Linked DNA regions of Lonchura striata. The protein of the gene in region 1 binds, or shares a complex with, the protein of each later gene. Links are inferred from orthologs where the notes say so. Each region holds a gene or a part of one and is shown on either strand. Other genes may lie near its edges.

Region 1 (12,047 bases):
CCACATTGCACTTTGTCCCACATTTGGGGCAAGTTGTGCACATGGAGTGGGGGCAACAAGCAGGGCAGGTGCCCCCGTACAGGCGGACGGGTGGCTGGGTGTCCCCAGAGCCATGTCCCATCCTGTCCCACTGAGAGCCACCGCCCTGCCAGCTGGACAGGCAAGCAGGGCTTGGCCCGGGTGCAGAAGGAAAGGATCCAGGGGCTCTGTTGACATAACAAGCCACTAGAGAGCACTCTCAAATGTATTTATACCCTTTGCCTAAGTGCTGGTTCATAAAAACACGCGGTTGCCATGGCCTGGTTTACAGCACGTCCAAACAGAGAGCTCCCAAACATACCAGGTTTTCTGAGGCCACTGCAAAGACGGTCAAAGCTTCCCTTGTGTGGCACCTTTCCCACCCCCTGGGACCCAGGCACAGGGCAGCACCCACCAGCTCCATGCATCCCTTCTTGTCCCACACTACTATCTGTTTACAAATAAATGTCAGGACAGTATTTTAAAAAAATTAAATAATATTGTACAACTATAGCTTTTTCAAGTTTTCTTTCTTCCTTTTGTTAGAGATACAAAAAAAAAATGCAGTAAGTATTTGAAAATCCTAGTTTCCTTATGCTTAGTGACAGAAATGAAAAAAAAAAAAAAAAGAATAAGAAAAACTATAAAATACCAAACTGGCAGCAGGTTAGTTCAGCAGCTATCAACAAAAGAACCATGCAGTTGAAAAAAATCTGCCAGGAAAAAGTGTATTTGAAAAAAAAGTGATGGAAGTGGGTTAGGAAAAAAAATTGTAATCACACATTCTTCATTAAAACACTTTTAATACTACACAAGTTACAGTATCACCTTTTAAAAAGTTTAAAAAGGAATATTAACAGTAGCACTGTTGCAACTAAAGCACTTCAAAATAATAGAAAAAAAAAAAAAAGAAAAAATTTGTAGCCCAGGAAGTAGTAATAAAGAATCCACTGGAATATTACTGTAATTGAGCAAAGCAACCAAAAAGAAAAAGCAACATTCAATGTGAGAAAAATGAACTATGTATGAACACCCTCAAATTTTTTTAATTCTTTTTTTGTTTGTTATTTTGTTTTGTTTGTTTTTCTTTTGCAGTTCTGAAGTTTTATGGTGGAGGTTAGACATGGCTGGGGGCTCAAGTCAGCTGAGTGAGCATAGCCACCGTGTGCCATTTCTTTTCCATCTATGTTGTTACTGGGCCAGTGCCTGGCATCAGTGGCTGGGGAGTTTCCATCCTCTCCAGGAGTCACAGAACTGCAGGAGCGGGTGGCTGGCAGGAGGAGGAAGGTGTGCTTCCCTACAGGCCTCTCACACCAATGTCCCTCTGCCCCAAAACAAGGGTGCGCTTTGTCAGGAGCTCAGGAGCAGGTCTCACCCTCAGCACGCTCACAGCTGGGACACCTGATGACACAAAATGGGGGGCTCTTTTAGGCAGGCTTTGGAATTCAGTTTCTGCTTCTTTCTTAAGAGCAGGGACACCGCCTTAATCAAACCATGAACTTCATCCCATGTAAGGTATTATGCCAAGCAACTTTGAAGAACTTGTTACCATCTATCAGCTCAAATTCCATTTTTTTAATAAAGTGCCTAGATACACATTTACACAGATCATAGTGGTTCCAAAGAATCCTTTACAGTTGGCATTTTTTTATATATAGGTATATATATAGGTATGTATATATATATAATGTGCGTTTTCTTCAAATTGGCTAAATGTGTTTACATAAGACACCAATCTTGACTATAAGTTTTAAAGCGTAATATTGACTCAATGAATTTGTTTATCATGCAAGTCTTATCTAATATTACATTGACCTGTAATATGGAACACAATGTAGTGGGTGTGCTCATTAAACACTTCATAGAAAATTACTGTGCATGTGCAGTTCTGATCTTCAAATACTAATAAGGACCATTTCTTCTCTTTTTTAAAAAAATTAGTCTTAAAAAAAAAAAAAAAAACCAAAAAACTCCTCTGCATTAAATTGCAGTTTGAACATTATCACAATAAGAACAGTTGAGTAAAAAGCATCCAAAAATCTTGAATTTTATAGTTGGCTGAAACGATTTCTCCTCCTCCTCCTCTTCTGATACTAGAAGTGTTTATTAGCTGGTCCCTGGGGATGACCTCGCCACCTTTTTGCTCAGAAACAACCGCAAATAACCGAGTTATAAACACCTCGACAGAAGGGCTCGTACAGATGCAGTGTTGCCAATGAACTATAAACAGCACAAAAACATCACTATTAGACTTGAACTATTTCTAGTAACCAATGATTTATTGATTTTAGAAGTCTGCTTGGTGATGCAGAAGCGTGATCAAAAGAAGTGGCTTTACAAAAGAGTTCTCCAAAGTAGCTTAAAAGGCAGGGCCAGGGCCATTATGTACAGCCCTAATTGCTTTCATTTCAACCAGTTTATATTTTCATTTTCAAAGAATAGCAGTAGGTTTGTTTCAAGCATACGTAATAAGGAAATTACAGGTTTCCTCCACCCACATTTGGGCTGTCACTGATATGCCCGCGGGCAATTTGGCAGAGCCTCAGTCACTGCTGTCACTGTACCACACCGTACCTGCCACTACTTGGAAATACCGGGTCAGCGATAGTAACAATAGCAACAGCACTAGAGGTGACTGGTAAGCAAAATCAAAATCCATATGCACTATCTGAAAATTAAAGTAAAATAAAATAAAGTCTCTTCCCCACATCCCCAGCTTGTTCCAAATACACAAAAGCCCCACAAGTGACACTGAAGACCTTCAGAAATGGCAGTGCTACATTGGCACCTTCACCAATCACGTAACTAAGTTCATTATCAAAATTCCACGTTATGGTATGTAATTGGTGAATAAATGCAGTTTTGTAATCTTAGAACTGATCACAAGAACTGCGGTCAACTTTGCCTTGGAAAAAAAACGAAAAAAACAAAACAAAACACCAAACCAAAAACAAACAAACCCAGAAATCCCTAACTCAACAGCGCCTCTTGGACACCTCTCCACATCCTACTCTGGTGGCAGCTTCCCTTGAGAAACAGTGAGCAATTTGGGACTGGATCTGGAGGATCTTCCATCGCACCCTGAGCCACGCGCTTCTGGGAGAAAGCCCTCCTGCTCCCTAAGCTCGCCTGGCCAGTGGGATGGCAAGTGCATGCCTGCCTTGGCTAGCCACTCTTGTCCCCAGCTGCCTCAGACCAAGCCTGCATGCGACCAGCTCTACAGGACAGGGGCCAGGAATAAGGAATCACAGACAGTAAGGCAATCTTTACAATGTCAGAAAGTGTATTTGGCATTTAAAAAAAAAAAAAAAAAAGAAAAGGAAAGAAAAAACAGAAGAAACAAGTGCATACAAATACAGCTAGAAGCATTTCTGGTTTGCCAAGTGCTCTCTAAAAAAAGCAGCGCAAGTCACAGCCTACATTGAACAGTAACTGTCACCAGGGAAGCACAACAAATAGTTGCTATAACAAAAGGGAAAAAAAGAAAAAACGAAACAGAAAAAAAAAAAAAAGAGAAGAATTAGAAGAAATGCCTTTATAATAAGTACATACCTTTGTCTTCAAAAAATATAGAAACACAATGTATTCAAAAAAATCAAAATTATACAGCCATGTTTATGAAGTCTACATTTCCCTTGTCTTGGAGATATATATATATATATTTATATATATATATTTATAGATATATACAGAATTCGAGCAGTTCGAGTTCAAGGTGACGTCGGGCAGCGAGTGCAGGCGAGTCACGAGTCCCTCTCCTTTTTCACTTTCACATCTCCGGCCAGGATGGTGGCGATCTCCCCTTGCATGAAGGCCCAGGGGACGTTGGAGCCGACCAGGGGACACTTCTCCCCGCTGGGGCAATACACCTCCCCGCTGGCTCCCTGCTGCTTGATGCTCTGCCGGGAGCAGGGGAAGCAGAACTTGTGGGAGGGGACGGAGGGGCACTGCACGAAGTGGGTGTCTTCCAGGCGCTCGTGGCAGAGGGTACAACACAACGGGACGCTGGCGGCGAGGGACGAGTCCGGCAGGCTGGCGGGGTGCACGGGCTCCAGCCCGCCCGCCGCCGCCGCGCTGGCCCCCTGGCCCGGCACCTCCCTGCCGGGGCCCAGCCTTCTTTGGTTCATGGCGGAGGGCGAGGGGGGGCTGCTGCTGTTCCTCCGCGTGGTGGAGTGGACCTGGTTGGCGTCTTTGGAGGCGTGGTTGCCCCCGGCATTGTCCGCCACCAGAATGAGGGCGGCCATGGGGGACTGGCCGTTCTGTGCCGCCTCGGGCGGCGTGGTCCGGTTGGAGTGGGGCGAGGCGGTGGGCGGCGGGGGCGACATGAAGGGGGTGGCCGTCAGCGGCAGCTTCATCCCTTCTGACGGGGTGGGCAGCCAGGGCTGCACCTCCCCGTTGATCTTCGGGGGTCCAGCCTCGCCCTCCGGCTCGGGGGAAGGCTTCCTCTTCCGGGCGGCCCGAGCCCCTGCAGAGGCAGAGGTGGGGGGAAGGAGGAGGGTAAGAAGGCAGCGCACTCGCAACGCATTGCCGAGCAACCGCGAAAACGGGCGGCCTCGGCCACCCCCCGGGCACCCGGCCACCCAAGCGGCCGGACCGCCGCCCCGCACGCCCAAAGCCGCCCGGCATCCCCCGCCCCGCATCCATGGAGAGCCACCCCTCCCGCCCTGCCCGCCGCCCCCCGGTCCCCGGCTCCTCACCTGGCTTGGCCACGGAGCCGTTGGTCTCGTAGCCCAGCAGCCGGCCGCCCGCCATGCCCGGCTCTTTCTTGAATTTGCTGTCGAAGGGAGCCACGGTGTGGCTCCCGTGCTGGTGCAGGGCCAGCAGCGTGTCCCGCACTGTCTTGGGCTTGGCCAGCCACTCCTGCTCGGCGCCCGGCCGGCCCTTGCCCTCCGCGGCCAGCTCCGCCGCCGCCGCCGCCGGCAGGCTCTCGGCAGAGCCGCGCTTCTCCTTGGCGCCACTGTCGTGCTCCCCCGCCGCGCCGCCGCCGCCGCCCGAGGAGGAGGAGGAGACGGAGCCGGGACGCTTGTGTCCCAGCTCTCCGGGCTGCCCCGCCGCCTGCGCCGCCGCCTGCGCCGCCGCCGCCGGCTGCTGGGGCACGGGCACGGCCATGGGGGCGGGCGCGGCGGAGATGGCGGCCAGCGAGGCGGCGGCCGCGGCGGCAGCGCGGCTGCCCAGACCGCCGATGGCGGCAGGGAGCCCGGCGCCGTTCACCAGCGGCACTAGGGTGGGCGGTACGGCGTGCGTCCGCCGCGGGTTCGGGCTCTGCCGGTTGAGCTCTGGCGGCTCCTCGGGCTTGGGGAAGCCGTTGGGCACCAGGATCCCGTTGACCTGCCGGCCGCCGCCGTACTCGGCGCCCAGGCGGGGCGGCGGCCGCTCGGCCGCCAGCGAGTAGCGCTCCAGGGGCTGCGGCGGGGGCCGCGCCGCCGCCTCCGCCGCCGAGGGGTGGCCGAGCTGCTGCTGCTGCGCCAGGAGCTCCTTGGCGGAGAGCGGAGGCTGCTTGGCGTGGGGCGGTGGCGGGGCCCGGCCCTCGGGGAAGCAGCCGTGCGCCCGCTTCAGCTGCCGCGCCGTGTCGATGACGAACTCCACGCGGTCGGCGCCCTCGTAGTTGACGCAGCCCCGGCAGACGGGCTCGGTGAAGTCCCAGATCATGGCCCAGGGCATGCGGGGCAGATCGCACAGGTAGCACGACTGCCTGCGGGAAGCAGCCGCCACCGCCGCCGACGACATGTCCCGGCCCCGGGGCAGCGGCGAGCGCCCCCCGCTCCGGCTTCGGCCGCTGCCTCCTCCGCCCCTCGTCACCGGAGTCCCGACGGGCAGGCTCGGGAGCCGCGGCCGCAGCGGGACCGTCCGCCGGGCCCCCTCCCCCTCGCCTTCCTCTTCCGTGCGCTGGAGCGGGGCGCGGCGGGCGCCCCGGCAGGCAGAGCCGCTGCGGGGAACGCCGCTCCCCTCGCCGTCTCCGCCGGCGGCGCTCACAGGGCGGCGGGGACGCGCATCTCCGCCGCGCGGCTGGCGCAGGGCTGCGGCCGCTGCCGCCCGCACGGCTCCCCCGCTCTCTGGCTACTACGGGGCGGCGCGGGGCGGCGGGGGCCGGCGCGGCGCGGCGGGGCGGGTGGGGCGGGGACTGCCACGGGGGCCGGGGCCGGGGCCGGGGCTGGCGGCGGCGCCGTGCCGTGCCGGGCTCCAGCCGCCACCGCCGCCTCTGCGCGCCGCCGCTACGATTCTTCGACAGTGCCGGCCGCGCCTGCGCGGTGGGCGCCCCCGCCCCGCCGCCGCCGCCGCCGCCGCGATCCCAGCCCCGGCCCCTGCCCGCGCCCCCGCCACCGGCACCGGGGGTTCCTCCTGCCGCCGGGGGGCCGCCGCGACCCCGCCCCGATGGCCCCCGGGGAGGGCTGTGGGAGCGGAGAGGGACAAGGCGAGGGGCGGGGGTGCCCCGCAGCTCCCTCCTTCTTTTCTGATTTTATTTTTATTATGGTTGGGTGTATTACTATTCCCCTCACCGCCAAGGGGCTTTGCCGAAACCTCCCACCCGTGGGCGCAGCGGTGCGCGGAGCGCCTCCCGCAGTGCGGGGCTCTGTGTACCCCCTCTTGTCCCCCGCCGCGCTCGCCCTGTGACCTTGGACACGGCGCCCCGGGCGCGCCCCGCAGCTGCGAGGTCCCCCCCGCCGGGCCGGTCATCGCCACCTCCGGGCAGGGGCCGGCGCCCCGCCGAGCAGTGCTCGGCTTTGTTCTCCCCGCCGGAGCAGGAGGCACCATTACAAATAAATGTAACGATTACCCAGCTTTTTTTTTTTTTTTTTTTTTTTTCCTTAACTGTTGTCATTGTGCACAGGAAATAGGACGTTCTAGATTTCCTGTCATTTTAAACCACAAACCAGCAGTTCTCTAATGCAGATTAGCGAAATTCACACAGACTAAGCACACGCCGTCTCGTTCCCAAAAAAGAAAAACCTGTTTCCCCGACCCCCTTCCACGCTGTGAATCGCTCATCCGCCACCTGCACCCGCACTGAAACACAGGATGGGGGCAAGGGAGGGAGCAAGAGAGGGTGTTCGCTCTCCTCGTGTGTCACGGGAGGTGAAGCAACCCCTCAGCGGGCGCATCCCGGCACGTACGGTCGGCTGCACGCCTTTGCCCGTGCGGGGTGAACACGGCGGAGGCTGCTCCCCCCGACAGCCGTGCTCCAGCCGCCCTTCCCACGGCGTTATGTAGGTTACGGAGGAGGGAGGGAAAGAGGGCGGGAGGCGGGAGCCGGGAGCCGGCCGGGGCTGGGGAAGCTCTGACGTCCGTCGCCGCCGCCGGGAGGTGCCTCCCCGCGCCTGGGGGCCGCCCGACGGCGCTGCGGGGCTGGCCCCGCCGCCAGCGCCCGGCCGGGCTGCCGAGGGGCGTCGGGGGGACACCGGGGGCAGAGCCGCGCCCCTCTCGCCCTGCGCTCGCTTCCCGGGGCCGGGACTGGGTGTCGCGGCCGCCCGTGCGCCCCGGGGCTGCGGGGGACCCTTGCTTCCCCCTGCCTCGGCCTCCTGCTCGTCCTGGCACTGCGGCCCCCGTGCCAGGTTGGGTGACTTTGCAACTGCGCGGCCAGCTGGGCGCCCCGGAGGCGCCGGGTTGTACATAAGCGCAAAAAAAGTCAGCCGCGGCCCCAAATCCAGCCCCGCGCACGGTTGCGGCGGCCGGGGCTGCTGCCCCCGGAGCCCCCACAGCTCCAGCAGCCCTGCGGCGGCCGGCCGGGGCCGGAAGGCAGGAGCAAGGAGAAGGGGGCAGCCCTGCCTTGGCCCCGACGTGCTCCCGGAGAGCCAAGGGTTAACATCGGCTCGCTTTTCTCGAGCAGCCCTCCTTTCACGTTGCATCAAAGTCCTTTAAAGCTGTTTCTTTTCCCTCCTCCCCTCCCCGGCTGGAAAGACGATTTATCCATGCAAGCTAAGTAAACAGATCTTTGTTTTCGTCTTCCACCCACTGCCCTCTTTCTCCAGCCCGAAGCTGGAGCCTCGCCAAGCCGGCTGCAGCGATCACTGCCTCCACACACACACACTCACACACACGGGGCGGGGGAAGAAGCCGGGTTTCTCGGGTGAGGCAATGCGCCTGCAATTGGCAGGGACAAGGCAGGAATTGTAATTGCACTTCATCATGTGATGGCTTATGAAAGAGGAAGTTTGGATGTTTTAGTCACGTACTCCTTTGCCCTCTTGCTTTAGCCTCCAGGTTCTCCGAAGGAAAAAATTACATATATTTATATATACTGGTGGAAAGCCAAGAAACAGTGTGTTTGCACATTTTCAGATCATGAGCCGAGCTGGAGTGCTAGCTGAGCGAGGCTGCAGGGTAAGAAGAAAGCAAAGCTTTGAGCTGTGGCAGGCTTTTAACTGCAGGACAGAAAATGTGATCTGTATTTATTTTCCTTTATTTTTAATGAAAACTAGCTGCATGGAAAAGTCAAGATGAGCAGTATTCTGGTTTTGCAGCATTTGCTGCCTTTGAATTCATTCTGGTGGAAAAGGAAAAAAAACGCCAACAAAATCATGTTACCAAGCTCAATGTCAAAAACCTGATAAAAAAATAGTGGCAGTGCTACATAGGAAATGTGGTTTATGTATCAAATCACAAAAAAAAATACCTCAAAGCTGCTGACTGTTACAGCAGTAACTGCACAGGAATTGAACAAATAATGAATTTGTCTCTTGTTCTTTTTTTTTCTCTTTTTTGAAACAGAAGCCATTCCTTTGTGCCAGATCTCTGCTAAACTCCCCTCAATGCAACACACCAAGGCTATAGATAGGAGCAGAGAGTGCTGGACAATGTCTTATGGGGTGCAAGGCTATGAAGGTCTGGGGCAGTCCCTGACCAAGGAGCACCATGGTGGCATGGGTGAGGGTCCAGCACGGTGTGGAAGGCTTTTGTCTTGTTCTGGTGTGCCCAGTATCATGGGTGAGGGAAGGAGGGAAAGGTTGTAGTGGGGCGGTTCTTTGAGTTGAACTCTGTTTGCCACCCCCACATCAATGACATGCCCCTTCTCACAATGTGTTTTTTTGCTTTTGTCAGTGAACCACGCCGAGATCTTCCTGTGTTTCTCTTCCTCCCTGCAGGGTTTTATATCCTTTCCCGCTTATCCTCTGCACTGGCAGCAGTGATTGCATGCAGACTCTTGTTCCAGAACTGTGCCCCCAGCCTGCACTTCACCCACATACCTATCCCCCATGGGGCCTGCCCTTCTGTCTGTGTCCAAACCAGTGCTCCTCACTTGATCACCTCTGCCCTTGGCATTCTTCTTTCCCTTCTGATTGAGGGCTGTCTCACAACCTTCTCCAGCAGATACGCACTGCTTCCTCCATAGCTCTTATTTGCATCCTTCTGTTGTGGCAGCAGTCCTGCAGGGTAATATCAAAATGGCCAGAGCCAAGATAGGAAAGACAATTATGCTGAAGGATGTTACCACCTCTCCTTCATTGATTTATAATGAATTATGGAGGTTGCTCTCTCAGAACTGAGAGAGGAGAGGTTGAGAATAGTCCTTCAAGTTTTGGATTTAGTCAGATGCAGGTGACTTTGAGCCAACAGTGTTTAATCCAGTGTTGTAGGAGGGAAAAAAGATACTGATGCAAATGAGGGTGTCATCAGGCACAGCATGTTGACATAAATAGGGTTTGGACGGGCTCATGGTAAGCCACTGATCCTGCAGATGTTTACAACCAGTTACAACTTTATTCACAGGAGCATCACTATGAATGTAAAGCTGTGTGCACTTATGGGCTTGCAGGATGAGAGCATGCTTCCCCAAGAGCTGCTCATCAGTGGCATGCTGACGGCTGCCCTGCAGCCTGGAGCTGACTGCTGATGGCAGGAGCTGACAGAGCCACTGGCACAAAAATACTCCACTGAGGCCGGAGACAGGTCACTGCACTCACTCAACATGAGGCAGAACGTGCCAGAGGATTGAGAGGGGCTCGAGCATCTACTCAGTGTCTGCTGTTTCCCATACATGGGGCTTTTATTAACTCCTTGAAGAAAGCTGCATTGAATACTGCTGTTTGAGAGCTACAAGGAACCTAAGCAGAGCCTGCCTAGAAGAGGAAACAGCAATAGGACAATCGTTTACCATTCGTTCATGGATTATCCCAAAATATGGAGATGCAGCATATGCTGCTATTCTGCTCCAACCCTTTCCTCTAGACAGCATGGTCAGGGTTAGTTACCAGGGACTTGCACTGTGAGCAAGAGCCTGTGTGCTACAGCTTCTGCTCCATTGGTGGGCTCTGCTCTAGGCAGTTTGGAGAAAAATTTGCATGCTTTCTTTAAAAAAAAAAGACAATTCTGTTTTTAACAGCGCAGTTGACTTTATGCCCTCTTTTCAAGTAGGAGTAGAAAAAAAGCGGCGAGGAAAGGATCGTGGAAATACTTAAGAAATTCAGAGGTTACTACCCTCCGAAGAGAACGAAAAACTTCAGAGAGACACTTCCAGATACCAGAAGAAAGGGCAATTGATGTGGAAAAGCTTCCGCCCCTTATCCCCAGGCTGAGTAAATAGGCATGTCGGGTTATCCCATTTACACCTCGCCTTGGTGCTCTGCATTTCGAGCCACAGTCGGCAATTGTCTGCAGCCACGGGCGAGGGGGGCAGGAATGTGGTGGCCGGGGGCTTCCCGGGGCGCAGGCAGAGCGGCCGGCTGGCCGGGTGACCCCTTCCCAAAATAAACAGGAAGCCCAGGAAGCAGTGACCCCTCCGTGACACCGCGCTGGCTCTGCTCCCTGCCTTCTGTGCGGGAGTCGACAGGCTTCCAAATACCCTCAGAAAATTGGACAGGGGCGAGGACTCCACAGGAAACGTTACAAAATAAGAGCAGAAACAGATCGTCTGTTGAAAAAATTACAGAGGGCCTTAAAGCTCCTTCTTCTTAGGTTTCTGGGTAGTTGTATTCCTTGTCTGTGCTTCATTCCCCTGAGCCCATGTCGATGCAGCTTGCAGAGCCCCGAGTAGCTGCGCAGGGGCAGAGCTTCCCCCTCGGCATGTGTGGAAGTGCTGGTGTGCGTGAGCAAAGCACAAAGAGGAGCCCCAAGGAGGCTGCGCCAAAGGCTTTCTCAGATGGGCTGGGGAGTTCAGGCTGGGAAATGCCTTTTCCCTGTTTGTGGGAGTTGGCAGTAGGGTCCTCACACAAAATAAAACTCAAAACCGAGGACTAGACCTTCTCAAAGTGCGGGCCAAGGGTATTAATGTTGTTTCCAACATGGGAGTTCCTGCATTACCCAAACATCCCCCTGAAGCAGCAAACTGGCGCTTGCTGACAGCTCCAGCTGGCAAATCACCTCCCGGGCCTGCCAGAAGAACTCGCCGTCCCAAAAGCCTCCCCGCCTCGAAGCCCCACAGTTTGGGGCAGGACAGGACCACCACCAGTGGGGCAGGCAGCCCAGCTGAAGGGAGACTGTGCTGCTGCTGCTATCCTGGCAGCACCGGCCATTTCGCAATCCCATTTTTCTACTCACACAGCAGCAGTTGTCTCGTCCTTCCTGCAGGCACAGACACCTGGAGGGGCTGAGGGCTCCTGGGGGCAGGTGCCGATGGTTTGAGCCCCACACAGATCAGCTAGTTCAAAAAGACTCAGGGGAAAGAAAAGGGGAGATGGATTCCCTCTCTGATTCCCTGCCAATTGTTAGGATTGTATAGCTACTGAACAGTGGGTAGCAAACCAGACATGCCCACCTATTTGGGTAGCAACATGTACTATGCTGGTGTGCTCCCCTATCCCCCCCACCTCAGAGGGGTTGCTCTTTAGGAAAAGGACTATAGTACAGGGAGCAGTGGGCAGCTGCTAGAGGAGAGTCCCTTGAACAGACCAGGTTTCCTTCCGGAAGAATTTTGATCATTGACATGCAAAAGCTGCAAAATGGTTCATTAGGCTGCAGCCTTGGTTTGTTCCAGGCACATTGAGATATTGTTGTGGTGCTCGTGTTTCCGCTAGTCATTGCAGCTATACTATTGCAATTTTGCAATCAGACAAGAGTCAACAGAAGGGTGCCCAAATCTGAGAAAGCACAGAATG
Region 2 (11,192 bases), on another chromosome or scaffold:
ATTTTGGGATAAGTGAGAGTGTCTTTAAGGTTGGGTTTGCTTTTTGTTTTGGCTTGTTTGTTTGGGTTTTTGTTTTGGGGTTTTTTTGGTTTTTTTTTTTTTGTTGTTTTTGGTGTGGTAAAAAAAAATATTAAGGTCAAATACTTTTGAAATAATAGAGAACAAGACCCTCAATTGGAAAGGAATAGCCTTAGAGCTTGAATGATATTTCATTTTAATTTAATCGAATTGGTTGCAAGTTGCATAACTGGGTTTTGCAATAGCTACTTATTAATATTTTAATCTTAAAATTTAGGATAAGTAATTGCTGTGATGTGTAGAAGCCAAAATTATTCCATTCAGTAGGAAAAGTTGTGATTGATTTTAGTGCATGGGACAGCATTGGGAATCCTGGTTTTGTATCATTTATAAGGTGATTATAATTATTGGAATATTCAGCCTGTGTGCAAGCAAGGTCAGCTCCACAGATTTACATATGTTAATACCTAAACTCAATTAGGCCATACATATATATATATTTATATTAAAAAAGTGTATTTCATGTCTTGCCAAGAGAGCTATAAGGGGAAATGTTTTCAAAGACTTGAGCAATCTTAAAGCTCTCTGCTTTATTTCTAAACCCTGTAATTAGTGGCTCCTGGAAACTGGATTTGCTTCTTCCCAAAGCTGAGGGATACACATGGTAATTTTGAAATCTAACCTCTAAACACAGTCTGGCTCCTAATTTTCCTAAGTTAAAAGTGGTTTAGATGCCTGAGCATCAAGCTGACTTAAAATTGGCATTTTTTCTTTAGTAATTCTCTTTTTTTTTTTTTATCCTCTCATTTCTCATATTGGAAGAATATTAAGTAATTTTTTTGCCCTGCTAACACAAACAGGGCATGGCAAGGTTTGCACCTCACTGCTTGCATCTGGAGGCTCTGGTGGTGTTTGAGACTCTTTGTAGTTCAAGTTGAATTATGTTTGTGATTATCATCAACCCTTCAGAGATTTAAAATAGTATGCAAATAGCAGAAAATATTATCAAGTTTTTAATTAGCACATAACAATTTTCCCACACAGATAAACTAGATTTATCTGTTGTGTGCTTTAGCTGCACTTTTGAAGTCTTCTCAGCCCAGCCTAAGAAAACAAAAGGAGAAAAACACCAGCAAATTGAGAGCTGCAAGATACCAGTGAGAAATGGAAAATATTCTTGATGAACCAGAGGCCTCGCCCAGCACCTCTGTGCCTATTTTATATATTCACTCAGAATTAATTGTGGTTTTTGCAAAAAAATCCTACAAGGGAAGCTCTGTCTGTGCCCTGCCAGGGATTCTGCCTTTCCTGGCCCAAATTCCCACCTGGGAAAGGCTGTGGAAGGACAGCAGGTGTGTTTAGTTTGGGGTGGGAGGTAAATGATTCCTGCTGCTGGGGGCAGGTTTTAATTCACCAAAAGCTTTTTGAGTTGATAAACACATTGGAATTTTCTGATCTGATATGACATAGATGGTCCTAAATTGCTCAGTATTTGCAAACAAGTGATCTGAAATTTTTATTTACCGCCACGGTGAGATGCTTTTTGCAATCTGTGTGTCTTTAAAGAAGAGAGTAGTACTGAATAAGAACTGCAGTGCAGCAAGGCATTTAAAATAAACCTTAAAAAATCAGTCCATCTGCCCGTCCAGACAAGCCATTACCATCTATTCCTGGGCCTACAAGTTCTTGCAATTCTAGACACTCTTAGGCATTGCTGTATTTTTAGTTTCCCTGGCATTTTGTTCACGGGGGATTCCAATGTGAGTTGCACAGCACTTTGTGACACTCACACACTCATAAGCAGATTTCCTCACTAGATAATGCTGTGTTTGGGTTTTGAAAGCAGCATTCCCTATTTAGGTTATGACAAGAATGATAGAATGCACAAATTCTTTCATTACAATATTGGGTGTAAACTTCCCTATTTCAGGCTTGAGAAGCTCCAGTGACAATTAAAAAGGCATATTTTTGTTCTATAATATCTGGCATGTTGTTGAAACCTTTAACTAGGGGACAGGTCAAAAAGGAAGACACAGCTTGAGCTCAGAGATGCCCACCCTGATGGGGCTTTCCTTAGTTATTGATTTATCTTAAGGGAACAGGTAGCTGGATGTGATTAAAATCTATTTGCAATGCAACTTCATGATTAAGAAAAAAAGGTGGAAGAATGCACATGGGAATGATGTGTGTTTTGATATCTTCTGTCCACTGGTGCAGTTGAGTGCTTAATGCGTGTGTAAAGTTATTATTGTGCTGTCTGTCTCACCAAGGGAAGTGTTTGTTGCTGCTTGTAAGGAACTTGAAATGTCATTTTCCTTGTCATCCATTTCTGGGTTTGCTGCATGTTCAGTCCATTTTAACTGTATTTCCTCATCACACCTGAATGGATTTCAAAGCAAACACCCCATCCTGCTTCAAGGGGAATTTTTATTTTGCCTTTTTCCTGTGCAATGCATTCTAACAAATGTAACAACAGGGATGTTGAGAGCAGCTTTTCCCACACACTGCCGTGGAGTGCATGGAAAAAGAAAAGCCTTTTCCTTCAGGCACATCGCCACCTAGCAACCCTCAACTCGAATTTGCTCTTTTCTTAGGGCAACAAAAAGGGTAAAACCTGTTTTTAAATGTTCTTGCTTTATTCCTCCACCTCCTCCTCAGTGTGCATTGAGGTTTCAGTAGGTGCCTGTCTGACCTGAGGAGCTGCAGCTGACAATTATCTACTCAAAAATGGAATTAAGCTGAGCAACACTGTGTGGCCACACAGACACAGCAGAGTGTGTCCCACCTCTATAAAGACTATTTTTTCTCTCGGGTACAGAACTGGTCACTGTTTCAATAATTGCTCTCTGCTGATGATCTTCACGGGTGGAATTCCAGCTGTCTCCTATTGTGGGGCTGGTTCTTAGCCAGTGTTGCCCATATTCTCCCTGGAAGATGTGTTGGAGTGCGGGCACCAAAGGCATTTTGTTTTCTCACGTTCTTCAGCACTGCCTGAGGCAGCAGCACATGTGAGAGAGGAGAGGGTCGAGAAGGGCAGAGAAAAGACACAGAAAAATGCAGCTCCCTGTATGTTTGTAATGCTCTAAAGCAGCTCAGTGCTTGTTCAAATGCTCTAAAACCCATATAAAATCTCACTGTCAAATCTGATATCACAGACTTGATATATTAAGAATATAATATACAGTCGAATAATATACAGTTGTAGGGATTTGCTTTTATATTAAGTGGTGATTTACAGAGGTGATTTACCTGCTCTTTTTGCTTTCCTTCCTTTGCTTTTTTGTCTTGTGAGGCGGTGAGACATTGCTGTGTGCAGACTGAATTTGCTCTCTGGGCTGAGGTGAAGCAGATCCCTGAGAGGCTGAAGGCTGTGCCCTGCTCTGTGGGGTCATCAGAAGAAAATCCATGTCAATCCCACCGGAGCTGTGCCTTTCCCCTTACCTCTAGAGGCTGCTGTTGTGTTAAATTAAAGTTCAGCGCTCTCCCAGCGGATCCCAGCTCTGGGGTTCAGTGCCAGGAGCAGGGAGTGTGAGACCCTAGAGGAAATAAATACTCCAGCCAGCGAGAGGCAGGGATGCCTCAGCTCTCAGGGAGCAGAAGGAGCTGATGAAAAGCAGCCTTTCCCCAGCCCTCTGCTGCACTGATGATTGGTTTCTGTTCAGTGGAAGGTCTCTCAGACCGATGAGCAGCAAACTGAATTGAGAATTTGCTGACAGGAACCAAGTACTATGCAGTGACCCTGTCAGTATTTGAGGTTAATGTCTGCTGGACTTGGGTTTGTTGAACTGATAAAATTTTCTTTCAAAGAAAGTTTTCCTAAGAATGGATTTTGGGTTTAAAATGCAGCGTAATGGATATGTTTACATTGATAATTCTCCCCCATTCTTTCACTAGGCATTGCCTTGTTTGCAGCACAGGTATTTTAATTTAGAAGTTCAAAAAGCTCTTGGTATTTGGTACAGTTTTTTATTATTTATTGTAAAGCACACTCATTATGCAACATTTGACAAGTTCAATCAGAGTTTGTACTGAAATGCTGAAAGCCATTCACCTAACAATGATCATTACTGCCTAAAAACCTGCACACCAGTGACTACTGGTCTAATAAAGAAGAATTAACTCCTTTATTAGTGTCTGGACAGCGCTTCTGAGTAGTCAGTGGTTTCTGGACAGCACCCAATCATGCTTTTCCAAACAGCTTGAAGAAATATGTAACTTTGAATATAGAGAATTCAAATTGGACTGGGAATTATAATGGCCATGTGCACCCCTGTCTATTAGAGCACTGCTCTAAAGGAGTTTAAATAGTGTTTTCTTCCTCATCACCTGCACCTCCCACAAAAATCCAAGTATTTCAAAGCAAAAAAAATCAAATACTTATCTTCTTGTCCTTCCCAAGCACCCAATAAATGTATTGCATTCATGTGAATTCAGGGATGCTCTCTATATGCATATCAAAATATTGTCCCCAAAATTGGTGAGGAACTTGTGTTTCATGCTGAAGAAACATGCCTTTCTTTTTTAATGTTGGAGGTGTGGATTTTTATTGTTGTTTATATCTTAGAGGGCTCAAATTTCTCCTGATGTCTTTATTAGATGGCTGTTTTAATTTGATGGATTGGTGTAGAATATCTCTGAGTATGTACAATATGCAAAACTTCTCATGCCCTGCTTAAAAATTACCATACACTACTCTTTATTAAAAATGTTTATCTTTCTGGAAAATAGCATGGGATGCTTTGGTCTGTGTGGTTGCAACTTTTGCAAAACAACTGCAACTTTTTATTAGATACCAATCAAGAAATGTGTTGTTACCTCAACATTGTGTATCTGCACTGAGAATAAACCTTTTTTATGTTCTAGGCAATCTTCCTTAGAATATTCAATGGACACCAGCAGTAAATTTAAGCTACCTGTTTTTACTGGAATACCCAGAGCATTCAAGCAGTAACTCTCAAAATGCCATCACAAAGTGTCACTCTGTGAGTTGCCTCTGTCATGTCATCCCTTCCCCTTCTCTAGCAGAGGGGAGAAGTTCTCAGGGTGGAAATTGAAGTTTTTTACTGCTACTGCCCTTGTGTGCACCATGAAGATTTCTCATCCCAGATGGGCAGGGATGATCTGTGCTCCAAGCTGAAGCGGGCAGAGGGAAAATTAGGTTTCCATTGGCTTTTTTTATTTCTCTTTTCCTATCAGCCCGAGACTTGAGGCGCTGATGACCCACAGCAAATGTGAACTGATGCCCACCAGGTTCGCACACCTGCCCAGATGTTCTGCCTTCTCGGGATGAGGGCACACATCTGTCTGAGCAGCTCTGAGCTCCAGGCTGGGGCTGCAGAGGGGCAGCCCACATCCAGGGACGGGAGAGCTGGAGCAGCACCGGGCTCCATCGCCTCTGTCAGCTCAGCCAGGGATTTGGCAGCCACGGAGTTCCCAGCATGGAAATATTGTGCTGTTTAGTTCATTAAACACATCTCTGATTTTGGCCTCCTCTCTGGGGGAAGAGAAGAAATGGTGATAACATAGATGGGATCTGCCTTGTGGGCAGCAAATTGTCCTTCTGCTGGGGCTGGGCTGGCAGTGGGAGAGCTGGAAGTTCTCCCATTAGCTGTCCAAAAGTGAGGCTGTGCTGCAGGCCTGGCTGTTTTCTCAAAGGTGGGGTGATTTATTTTGTGTTGTGAGGTTGGTGAGCACAGGCACAGGTTCTCCAGAGAGGCTGTGGAGTCTCCACCTTTGGAGATGGTCAAATCCCACCTGAGCATCCCACCCTGCCTGAGGCTGGTTTTGAGCAGGAGGTTTCCAAATGACCTCTGAAGGTGCCTTTGTAGCCTCCTGGAGATTTCTGCGCACTCATGTAATTAAAACAGCCACAGCTAGGAAAAGATCCAGAGCCCAGAATGTTTAACCACGAGCAGCCCTTAAAAAATCCGATCTGGCTGTGCCCTGATGGAACTGCAGCAATGTGTGCGATGCCCGTTTATATGTAGAGACAGAAACCTTTTTAAACTATTTATATATAAACTAAATACACGGAGGCAATGGCCACTGCATCACGCCTTTTATTTTAATTGCCTCTCTCATTCCTGCGATTCCACTGATCATTCCTGCGATGCCACGCCGTGATTCCACGGCTGCTGTCGCATTGCTTCCCGCAGAATTGGTTTCAAACAGCAGGCTCGGCACCCGCCCCCCGAGCGCGGAGGAGGCCCCTCGGCGCCGCTTCCTCCCCTCGTAGCCTCCTCCTCCTCCTCCCGCAGCCGCGGCCGCTTCCTGTGCGCGGCTCTGACGCGGCCGCTCCTCCCCGCGGAGCACAAAGCGGCCGCGGCCGGCAGCGCCTGCGCGGCCCCGGGCAGTGCCGGGCACTGCCGCTGTCAGCGCCGGCGCTCGCAGCGGGCTGCGCCCTCCTCCCCGCCGCCTTCGCTTTGCTGTAGCGCTCTTCTTTTTAATTATTATTTTTTTAAAACTCGGAAGAACTCTTGGGAGGGCTCCCTCCCCTCGCGCTGCCCGGGCTGTCGGAGCCCGCTGCCCCTTCCCGCCCCGCTCCAGGCTGGGCCTCGCTGGGGCTGGGAAGCCGGAGCGCCTCGGCACCGTCTGCCTCCCCCGCCCGGAGCCGCTCGCCTCCGCCAGCCCGATAAATGCTGTTTATGAGGATGGACCTGTTGAACTACCAGTACTTGGACAAGATGAACAACAACATCGGCATCCTGTGCTACGAAGGTAACAGTGCCTCGCCACGGGGAATGAGCGGTGCCCTCGCACGGGGGGAAGGATCCCTCGATCCCTCGCACGGGGAGGGATGGATCCCTTCCAGGATGGCTCCTTCTCCGAGCGGCGCTCGCTCTTGTTTGTCAGCGGGGATGTTCTTGGAGATCGCCGGTGCGGGACGCCCCTCGGGCTGTTGTCAGAGCTTTGTTACAGGGCAGGGATTTCTTTGTGATTTTTTTTTTTTCTCCCCCTGTTCTTATTTATTTATTTATTTTCACAACCCGCGTTTCCAGCGCCTGCTTTGCTTTCCCTGGCGGGCGGCGCTGCTGGCACTGAGGCCGGGCTCTGTCCGTGCGTCCCACGCCGCGGGCGGACACGCGTGGGTCCGGCTGCCGGCGCGTCCCCCGGGCCGGGCACGGTCCAGCCCGGCTGCCGGCGTGTCCCCCGGGCCGGGCACGGTCCGGCCCGGCTGCCGGCGTGTCCCCCGGGCCGGGCACGGTCCGGCTGCCGGCGTGTCCCCCGGGCCGGGCACGGTCCGGCTGCCGGCGCGTCCCCCGGGCCGGGCACGGTCCGGCTGCCGGCGTGTCCCCCGGGCCGGGCACGGTCCGGCTGCCGGCGTGTCCCTCGGGCACGGTCCGGCCCGGCTGCCGGCGTGTCCCCCGGGCCGGGCACGGTCCGTCCCGGGGCTGGCCGCCCTGCCCCGGCAGCCCGCGGAGCCCTGCTGGGAAGGCGCCCGCGGGAACAGGGCAGCAGCGGTTTGTGAATCCGCGCGGCTTTCTCTACGTGCGGCTGCGAGAAGCGGTTATGGCTTGGCTTTGCCTGGAGAGAAAGGCACCACTGAGCTAATTCGGCTTGGCAGCGGGGCTGGTTTTGCTGGAGCCACACACAAGCGCCGCGAAAAGCTTTTTTTTTTTTTTTTTTTTTTTTTCTGATTCAGCAGAAACGCTTTCCACGTTCGTTGAGAAAATAAACTTGGTGGAGTTGTGAGGAAAGAAACAATGAGGAGCATACACAGGCCAAGGAGATATCTGTTCACAGTGCTCAGGAAAAGGCCAGGCCAGAACGCAGGCAGCTGAATCTCACTTTGGAAATCACAGTCTTTTCTATCCCTAAGCCAGCATGGCCTCATTGCTTCCCTTCAGGAAGTGCAGGGGCTCCCTGTTGTACTGTTAATATCTTTGTTTCTCCTTTTTTCCTGCCTTTTCTTTCTTGGACAAATATGTATGTATATATTCATTTGGATTAAGCTCTTTTACAGAAGATGAGCTGAATAATACAGAGCTGGGGTTCTGTGAAGTTCAATTCCCAACTTCTTTCTTATGCTATGCTTTCTTTGTTAGAGCAAGAAAACTGGTTTAAAAGAAAAAAAAATAAAAACAACTTTCAGGATCCTTTAACTTTTTCATTTCATGATCCTTTAACTTTTTCACTGCTCTCTGCAGTAATTAGTGTTTTCTTGAGAAGCAAGTGATAATTATGAAGACCATGGAATTTTATGCAAAGCTTTATTTACATAATACACCTTTCTTTCACTAAGTTTTGTTGCTCTGTAGTTTTGGCTCGTTACTTCAATTCATTGTAATTATGCCTTATATTTATGGAAGATTCTTTCCAGTCCCATTTTTATTCCCCACCCTCTTCTCCAGTAATTATTATTTAACCATATCTTAGCTTTAATAGTACAAAAGCAAAAGAACAGCTTAAGGAATACACTCTACTGGAGCAGTTTTTGTTTAGATTAAACATCTGTTGCTATTTTCCTTATTCTGGAAGTTAACATTTTTAATACTAAAATAAACACACATAAAATGAAGAGAAGAAAAGCAAAACTTCAGTGGTGTTTATAGTGAGGTGTTTATATCCCAATGATTTAAAAAGTGTAAACACTGGCAACATCTGCTCTGAACTCAAAGGGTGTTTTAGAGATGCCTACAGATCTTCCTGGCCTCTGCCATAGTATTTATTTTAGAAGTGAGTTGTGTCAGCGGTGATGGATCTTGTCTTTCCAGGGACACTGTTGCAGTAGTAACTGCACTGACAACAAAACTCCCTCTCAAACTCAATTAATTAGGATTTACTGAAAGCCACACTTGAACTACTTATAAATGGATGCCTTCCTGAAAAGTACTTCTAAAGATGCAGGATAAGATAAAAATAGGTTTGAAATTTCAGAGGAAAGAGTGATGGGCCTATAGGCCACAGGAAATAGATGGGTTCCTTGTTCCCCTAGATTCGTTCTTGAAGCATTTGTTTTTTGTTTTTGAGATTATTTCTATGCTGGTGAGCTATGGCAGCATGTTTTATGAAGTTTATTGATGGTTTTACTCTTCTGGCACTGGAACTGTTGGATTTGCAACAGCCTTTGGATCATAGATGTGTTGATCCCTAAGAAATAGGAAAAGATCCTCCAATGTGTGTATCTGTCAACCCTTAAATTGGACATGGAGCAGAGGAGTGTGATTTGCATCCTGAGCATGGTCCTGCATTTTCTTGCCCAGCTAGAGTCCCGGACAGCAGTTTGTTATCTGTGAGCTGAGTTAATGCCAGCCTTGGAGAGCCTTTTCTGCCTGGGAGGAGCAGGAATCTCCCAAGAACTCAGCTGTGTCTTCATCTCAGTCTGCTCCTAAATTGTGCCATTCGTGGTCACAGTCCAGCCACGGAGTTCCCAGCATGGAAATATTGTGCTGTTTAGTTCATTAAACACATCTCTGATTTTGGCCTCCTCTCTGGGGGAAGAGAAGAAATGGTGATAACATAGATGGGATCTGCCTTGTGGGCAGCAAATTGTCCTTCTGCTGGGGCTGGGCTGGCAGTGGGAGAGCTGGAAGTTCTCCCATTAGCTGTCCAAAAGTGAGGCTGGGCTGCAGGCCTGGCTGTTTTCTCAAAGGTGGGGTGATTTATTTTGTGTTGTGAGGTTGGAGAGCACAGGCACAGGTTCTCCAGAGAGGCTGTGGAGTCTCCACCTTTGGAGATACTCAAATCCCACCTGAGCATCCCATCCTGCCTGAGGCTGGTTTTGAGCAGGAGGTTTCTAAATGACTTCTGAAGGTGCCTTTGTAGCCTCCTGGAGATTTCTGTGCACTCATGTAATTAAAACAGCCACAGCTAGGAAAAGGATTATAACCAGAAATGAGGGGAAAGAGTTTTAGAAAGGTGGTCCATAACTCTGAAGCACAGGATAAAGCCATTTCTTTTCCTCAAGGTTGTTTGTTTTACACTGATTATTTGTGTCCTTTGGAGGTTTCTCTTAATCTCTTTACTAGCTTTGAACCCCCATGATGCCCCATGGTAATCTCAAATCCAACTGATGCTTTTGGAGAAAAATCTGAATGTTAATGGGTTGGGGTTTTTTTTAGCAAGTTGCATAAAAAAGACATTTGAAAGAAAATTTTTAAATCACTCCAGTGGGGATGTGTAGTCCTCACCAGTGGAAAAGGACAGTTCTATTAGTGATGATCAACCACTTCAAGTAATTTATTATAATAGTTTTGGTGCAATAGGAAAGTAGAAATAGAGAATTGTTGCCTTGGCATCTGGATGCTCATCTTTAGCGTGAATACATCCGATATTCTTCTACTCAACATTTGCTGCCAGCGATCAACAACGGCCAGTTTAATGAGTGGTGCTTTCAGATCATTATTTTGCTTTAATGAGCTGAGGGCCATGAGGAAGCTCCTGGGAGCCCTGGCAGAGGTGCAGAAGGAGCAGCAGCATTCTGAGGCAGGCTGGCATTCCCAGTGCTTCCTATCGAATGGCAGCCACTTGATCCAGCCAGGTAATCCGGGCTGGAACATCTGCATCTCGTTTTGTGGTGGAAACTCACTTAACTCTGGCTCAATATTCCTTCTGAGCCCGCTGTTGAGGTAATGGAGTGCTCAGAGTTAAACAAAACAGAGCAGAGCACAGGTGATGCTGCTCTTTGACTCCAGGGCTGTCCAGCCAGTTCTGGCTCCTGCTTTCCCACGGAATATGCATGAGGAGAAGCAGTCTCCAGGCAGATCCCTTTCGTTCTGTTGTTTATCACAGATGGTGCTGTGTTGGAAGGCAGATTTCTGCCTTCCTTCCTCTCTCTCTCCCCGTTTCAGATGCTCTGGGTTATTGCTGCATTCTCAGGGCTGGAACTGCTGTGCTGGGAAAGGTATAAAGAAATGCAATAAGATGCTAAGAAATCCCCCAGGCATGTTACTTGGAGCACTCAAAATAGTTATGTAGAGTTCTCTGGATAGTCTAGAAGACTGGGATTTTTTTTTTTTTTATGAAGAAAATTGGATCCAGATTTCTATCAAAACACCCCTCTTTGGTTTCAGGACAGCTTTCATTAGTTAGTGGCATATTACATAATTATTTCACTGACTTCCTGTAAGGCTGGAGCATTCCTTGGCTTGCAGAGCTGGGTGTCCTCTCAGGGCACTGCAAAGCATCCTGAAAATGTCTGTGTCTTCCCCAAAAGGCCACTTCAGATGTTTGCT

What was found.
Region 2: the proteins of IRF2BP2 (region 1) and VGLL4 are in contact, whole or in part, in a crystal structure (PDB 8YTF), measured with the Homo sapiens proteins. The link is inferred for Lonchura striata from reciprocal best matches to the Homo sapiens genes IRF2BP2 and VGLL4. Residues at the interface, in NP_892017.2 of Homo sapiens: Thr516, His517, Phe518, Val519, Gln520, Pro522, Phe531, Leu557, Trp564, Ala565, Phe566, Met567, Glu570, Thr573, Ile574; in NP_055482.2 of Homo sapiens: Arg161, Ser163, Val164, Ile165, Thr166.

The regions. Positions count from the first base shown.
Region 1 is NC_134605.1:45,045,266-45,057,312, forward strand, and holds IRF2BP2 (interferon regulatory factor 2-binding protein 2), read right to left. Parts: upstream 5,862-12,047; 5' UTR 5,746-5,861; coding exon 4,716-5,745; intron 4,484-4,715; coding exon 3,762-4,483; 3' UTR 1,574-3,761; downstream 1-1,573. UniProt on the Homo sapiens protein: Acts as a transcriptional corepressor in a IRF2-dependent manner; this repression is not mediated by histone deacetylase activities. Represses the NFAT1-dependent transactivation of NFAT-responsive promoters.
Region 2 is NC_134614.1:5,199,774-5,210,965, forward strand, and holds the start of VGLL4 (transcription cofactor vestigial-like protein 4), read left to right. Parts: upstream 1-6,369; 5' UTR 6,370-6,653; coding exon 6,654-6,735; intron 6,736-11,192. UniProt on the Homo sapiens protein: May act as a specific coactivator for the mammalian TEFs.